2 linked regions of the Saccharomyces cerevisiae S288C genome follow. Changing the gene in region 1 together with any one later gene gives a genetic interaction. Each region holds a gene or a part of one and is shown on either strand. Other genes may lie near its edges.

Region 1 (3,464 bases):
TGAGAGCAGGATCTGCGGAAAATACTTCGTACCGTAGTATCCATTTTGCCTATGGAGGAAAGCTTGTTTCCAAACCAGGAGATCCGCAGACAGGAAAAGTTCGAGGCCAAACAAAAACCGCAGCACAATGGAGTAAAAGTCGAAGGCACGGGCCCCAAACGATAGAGTGGAAGTTGTAGGAAACAAAAGTGGCCGTCTATGTGGCGCTTCTCTGCGGTGAATTCTGTGCGAAGTGCCTAAACGAAAACGGACGGAGAAGGCTGCGGGGGGATATCCCTTGCATAAAGGATGCCCGGCACTGTCCTAGACGGTGCCTTCCCTTAGAGACTAGGAGAGACTTGAGTAGGAGAAACTGAGCAGGAAAATTCGAGAGATAAAGTACATGTGCCTAGGTAAGCTGTACTTCGAACAGCTAATATTAGTAAGATGCATAAAGGGGCGTCAAAGTGGAAATATAACGACAGGAGAATCTCGGTGTGTAAGTTGGAATGTGTATTGCACCACTTCCATGATTGGGCTTTTTTCCTGGCGCAAAATGTTGCTTTTTCAACATTTTTCTTATACGCAGAGAGAGAATCGTCAGATAGGTGGTAAAACTTGGAGCCTAATTAGCTCATTATTTCATTTGAACGAGACATTGGCTTCTGCCCTACATCACCCATACGAGACATTGGCCTTATACGAGGCGTACTTCGCCTTGCGGGAAAAAAAATTTCTTTTGTAAGCGAGGTTACTCAGAAACTGTGACTGAAGGCAGAGGTTGGAAACGTGTGTAGACTCCAAATGGAACGATAGGAACGTGTACCCTACCGCTTCTGCACACGTTTCTTAGATATGCGTGCCTTAAGGCGACCCATTGTTCCTGTTTACCATGATTTCTGTAGGCTTTTTTTTAGAAGGCCCTAGAATGGATTGCAGATTTCCGTCTGAGAAGGCAGTATACGTACATATGAATATATATATACATATATTCTTTGGTGGAGAGTATAAGCGTTTCGTCTCCTCTTCCTTTCTCTACTGCAGATTTTCTTGCTGGTTGTTTGATTTTTTCTTTTTAGTGTTCCCCAGATCCAATTGTTCAACCGCCCACACACAACAATGTCTTTCACTAAAATCGCTGCCTTATTAGCTGTTGCCGCTGCCTCCACTCAATTGGTTTCTGCTGAAGTTGGACAATATGAAATCGTCGAATTTGACGCTATTTTGGCTGATGTCAAGGCCAATTTGGAACAATATATGTCCTTGGCAATGAATAATCCAGACTTTACCCTACCATCTGGTGTTTTGGATGTTTACCAACATATGACCACTGCTACTGATGATTCCTACACCAGTTATTTCACCGAAATGGACTTTGCTCAAATCACCACTGCCATGGTTCAAGTGCCTTGGTACTCTTCTAGACTGGAACCTGAAATCATCGCTGCTTTACAAAGCGCGGGTATCAGTATTACCTCCTTAGGTCAAACCGTTTCCGAATCTGGTTCCGAATCTGCCACTGCTTCCTCAGACGCTTCTTCTGCTTCTGAATCCTCTTCAGCTGCTTCTTCTTCTGCTTCTGAATCCTCTTCAGCTGCCTCCTCTTCTGCTTCTGAATCCTCTTCAGCTGCTTCTTCCTCTGCTTCAGAATCTTCTTCTGCTGCCTCCTCTTCTGCTTCTGAAGCTGCTAAGTCTTCTAGCTCTGCCAAGTCTTCTGGCTCTTCTGCTGCTTCATCTGCTGCTTCATCTGCTTCTTCCAAGGCCTCTTCTGCAGCTTCCTCTTCTGCAAAGGCCTCCTCTTCTGCAGAAAAATCTACTAATAGCTCCTCCTCTGCTACCTCCAAGAACGCTGGTGCAGCTATGGACATGGGCTTCTTCTCCGCTGGTGTTGGTGCCGCTATTGCCGGTGCCGCTGCTATGCTCTTATGATTGTCACTTATTAATGATAAATTATAAAATGTTATATGTAAAAAAACAAATATACACTTTTTGAATATTAGTATCCTATTTTAATATACTGTCTCCTAGATAATACAAACTTAATTTGCTTTCTCTTCACACTTTTTTCTTTACTCTTGTAATGTACACTTGGCTGTACATTAAAAAAAGGAATGTTCGAGCAAGAGCATGAAATCCACAGACGGCTGTGCCATGTAGCAGCCGTCGAGAAAAAAAAGATATAGAAAAGGGAAGAGAAATATCATTGTTATTACATCCACTGGATGAAGTAATACTACGAGCTTTATACAGGTAATATTAAAGTTCCTTAATAGAATGGGTGAAGCACTACGTAGATCAACCAGGATTGCAATATCCAAAAGAATGTTGGAAGAGGAAGAGTCCAAACTGGCCCCTATTTCGACACCGGAAGTGCCTAAGAAGAAAATCAAGACGGGTCCTAAACATAACGCTAATCAAGCAGTAGTTCAAGAGGCAAATAGGTCATCTGATGTTAACGAATTAGAGATAGGCGATCCTATTCCTGATTTGAGTCTTTTAAATGAAGATAATGACTCTATCTCCTTGAAGAAAATCACCGAAAATAACAGAGTTGTGGTGTTTTTTGTGTATCCCAGGGCAAGCACGCCTGGTTGTACTAGACAGGCCTGTGGATTTCGTGACAATTACCAGGAACTCAAGAAATATGCTGCTGTCTTTGGACTGAGTGCAGATTCTGTGACATCCCAGAAAAAGTTTCAGAGTAAACAAAATTTGCCATATCATTTACTAAGCGATCCAAAGAGAGAGTTTATTGGGTTGCTAGGAGCCAAAAAAACGCCACTTTCTGGTTCTATTAGATCGCATTTCATTTTTGTTGATGGGAAGTTAAAATTCAAAAGAGTTAAGATATCACCAGAAGTTAGTGTAAATGACGCCAAAAAGGAGGTTTTAGAAGTCGCTGAAAAGTTTAAAGAAGAATGAAGTTTAATAACCCCCTTTTTGTTTCTCTAGAGGAGTACTTATCGGTAAAATATTCCAAACCCTTCCCTTTATATATGTAGATAAACGAAGATATTCTAACTCTCTCACACTTATAAAATATCGAGCCTGCAGAAGGTCATAAATATTTATATACAAATGGGAAAGTACTTAACGATCCGACTTGATCAATATCAAATATCGTGGCCTGGTTTACATTGAGAACGGGCACTATTTCTTTGGACGAAATGTTGCTTAGGCAAATTTTGAAGTGAGACATTGCTCGAGAATTTGTTACGTAGACTAAGTCAGCATCGCCAATGATCATTAAGCAATTGGTCGTCTCAGATGTGATCCTGCAATTATGAGTCCTTTCAAAATTAGATACACACTCTTGGGAAAACTCAACTAAGTATTTGGTGTGAGGAATCTCTTATCGATGCGTATACCTTGTAGTCGCAAACGTTATAAAATTTTGTAATTTTGGCGAAATGGCACGGATTGGTTAAAATTGTCGGGCTCATATGCGGTAGCGCTAAGTCCTGCTTGGTCAAGCTAGGAATTAC
Region 2 (3,490 bases), on another chromosome or scaffold:
CACTGGCACGTCAAAAGTCCGAGAACTATTTTTCTCGAGAATGCCGCGCAAAGCAGGCACCGTGCCTTTATCTTTCTTTTTTTTCCTCCAGCACTAAACCTTCCATAACAATACTATTAGAAAGGTTGTTATCAAATATTAAAATAACTATTAAAGTGATACAAATATATATATAGATGACGATGGGCATAAAAAAGCTCGTTTCTAATCATCAACTATACGTTTCTTGATCAAAATGCACTGAGCAAAATATTGTTATGAAAACATACTTGCTTGACGAAATGGATTAAATGGATCCATTAAATTAAAAAATGAGTCTAGAATTGCACTTTATGATAGAAAATAAAAATTCGACAAGAAATGGTGATAATTTAACGAACGAAAATATTGAAACGTCAGGAAAATAAAATAAAATATGATAAAAGTTGAAGATGGAGTAAAATAATCTTGTCAAATAATCAATAAAGACAGTTTTATCCATTTATAGGATTGGCTTGAAGTAGAAAATTCTTCAAAGATGATTGAAAGAAAGAAGAAAGTAGCACATAATTGACATGACGATTGGCTTATTCTTCAGACTTCTTAGACTTCTTAGATTTCTTGCTCTTCTTAGACTTCTTTTTCTTGTCCTTACTCAAGTTTGGTGTAGCAGCAGGTCTTGGACTAGCAACTGGAGCTTTTGGAGCCATCACTGCTTCGGCATCACTAGGTCCGAAATGGTAGCCCAATTTGTCAGCACCGAAGTGGTTAGCAATTGGAACCAATAAAGTTGGAATGAAACACATCAAAATAAGATCAATGATACCATAGAAAATACCGGCAGAGTCTGGCTGCAAAACGTTACCACCATCGGTAATACCGAAACAAGTTGGGTAAGCAATAATCCACAAGAACATAATAATGCTGAAGAAAACAAGGAATGTCAACCTGATATCGTTATCTCTTTGTTTCACCAAGTTGTAACTGGTGGTCATAACACTGATACTAACGACAATAGCAGCACCTAGACCGATGGTGTAGTAACCCCATTTGTAAGTGGAGTGAACACAGGCAGCGATCAACCAACAAACAGTGAAGAATTCAGTAATACAAACATTGAAAGCCATTTGCCAGAATGGGGTACCAGCTAGCATACAGATTTGAATAATTGGCCATGGCAAAGCTAAGAACCAACCAACGAATCTAGAGTAGAAGATTTGTCTGTAACCTGGATGTTCTTTTTGAGTAGAAGTTTGGACATGGTTGTACTTAGCCTTGACTGGAATCCAACCTAAGTTAGAAGCCATGGTGAAATAAGCGATACACATGAAAAAGTTTGGAGCAATACCGGTAAGGTAAAAGAATCTGTCATTGACTGGTTTTCTGAACATTAAGAATGTTAAAATTAAACCAAATAATAGGTAACAACAGAAACATGTCCAGAACCAATCGGAACCACGACTAGTGATGTGGAAATCCGCACCGGTTGGAGGGTTAATTTTGATGGCTTCGTTACCACCTCTTTTAATTAAAGTTTCAAAGGTAGACATTGTTATTTTTCTTCTTTGTTCTGTGGGTTAAAGGAAGATGATTAGATATTAAGTGAAATTAGGTATTAGTTAAAATTAAAGCAAAAAATTAATGTTAAAATAGGGTCAAAAAATTGGATGTAGAGAAAGAAAAAGTTATTGAAATAATAATATTTTTGTTCGAGGAAACTTTTTTTTTTTCTGAGTTTCTTTTATTATTCTTTTTCTTCGCAATGTTTCTTAACAATAAGGACAAAAGATAGTGACAACGATCTAAGAATTAAAATAAGCTTAATAATAAATAAAAAGAAGAACTTGAAAAGGGAAAAAGAAGAAATAACGAGAAGTGGGAAAGAAATAAGGATATATCTTAAGTTACCGAAAAAGACACTACTTATAAATGAAGAAACCAGGTGAAGAGATCCTTTGTTTTACGAAGACCGTATTTATACATTTCCCTTCATGTACATGTGTGATAAATTGGAAAACCACTTCTGGAATTAAACTGCTTTTTCTGACATCCTTGTGCAGTCGTTACTGCGATTATTTACATCTTTACTGATTCGTATGAGTGTTTATTTCCATTTTGCCTTTTTTGTCCAGGAAAACTAGAGATGCCGATTTTCGGTTAACAAAAAAAGTCCTGGTGAGGGAAAAAAAACGCTATTTTTTTTGCTCACCGCACTAAGAACTAGCCGGAGAAGACTAAGCTAGGAAAGGGATGGAACAGATGACGACGAAGAAGATTAAGTAAAAAAGGTAAAGGGAGACGAGATGGTGACAAGTATCTCTTTTTTTTATTGCCTTTTTCATATTACCTATTACCGCAAACTGATATATTTCTCAAAGGAGAAATAGTAAAGTGGAAGAGGTTTGGGTCTCTTGGTAACCGGACTACATTTGCAAGTTGCATCTTCCATCGAAGTATTAATTCCCTCCATCCTCTTCTCACTAACACCGGCACGATTTTAAAAATTTTTCAACTCCGTTGTTGAATTACGTATTCCTCTTTATGGTAAGCGCTAAGATGAACAGCGCTGAAAAGCAAAATTTGAATGCTTGAAATTCAGAACATGACTATTCGTTCAGTACTCGCTTCATTTGCATCCTTAGTTAATTTGGCCTGAATTACTTTTTGAATTCAAGAGATAGTGCATAAAATGCGGCCCCCCTTTCCAGCTTCCATAAATTGCGCTGATTGCATGTCTGACTAAGCTTTTTTTTTTTTTTAAGCGACCTTGTCTCGAGGAGCATAATAAAAAAAAGGGAGTAAGGTCGGCGGCAGTCGCTTTTATTAAACTGAAGTAAAACAGAACAAAAATTACTTAAGGGTCGCTAATATTACCCTTATCCTCTCAACAAAAGATAAGAAATTAATTGACCTATACCTATAATACCTAATAAACCCAAAAGTGTCTTGCTCTGATGTATTTGTTTTTTTTAACACAACCTTGCTACCTTAGGCCATCGAGAAGAGATTGAGGTCAAAGTGGAAGCGTTGGAAAAGAAGGAAGACCCATAGTATAATGAAGCTAGTTACCATCCTTAGACGACGCCCATATTTTTCAATTTCTCTTATTTTTTTTTTACGCAGCGTAGCAGTTATGGACAAAAGCCGGCCTGAAACAAGATTGAGATTAAATGAAAGGGCGTCTGCTTGTATATGAACTCAGTCGTCCACTCTTTTTAAAGTACTCTACTTATATAAAAAAAAAAGATAGGGATTTACAATGTTAATTATTACACGCAGCATCTAGCGTATGATTGTATGTCCCGAATGCCCCGTTATTACCCAATAAAGCAAATTAATACGGTCTTTTTATAAAGCTGTGCTTCTTTTTCGGGGTAGTTTTTCCGTGAAACCCGTAGATGGGAACAAGAAGAGCAAAAAACCCTTTTTTTTAAATAATCCGAGAGTTTGACAACTTGTAAAAAAAAGCGCAAATGTCGGCGCGCCAAGTTGAAAAGTCGCTCAGAGAAAT

The links.
Region 2: mutations in DOT5 (region 1) and MRH1 together harm fitness more than expected from each alone (negative genetic interaction), as found in Saccharomyces cerevisiae (2 studies listed by BioGRID).

What each region holds. Positions count from the first base shown.
Region 1 is NC_001141.2:332,629-336,092, forward strand, and holds DOT5 (thioredoxin peroxidase DOT5), read left to right. Parts: upstream 1-2,253; coding exon 2,254-2,901; downstream 2,902-3,464. Other genes in the region: YIL012W (uncharacterized protein), read left to right, coding at 383-724; TIR3 (Tir3p), read left to right, coding at 1,099-1,908.
Region 2 is NC_001136.10:506,186-509,675, reverse strand, and holds MRH1 (Mrh1p), read right to left. Parts: upstream 1,530-3,490; coding exon 567-1,529; downstream 1-566.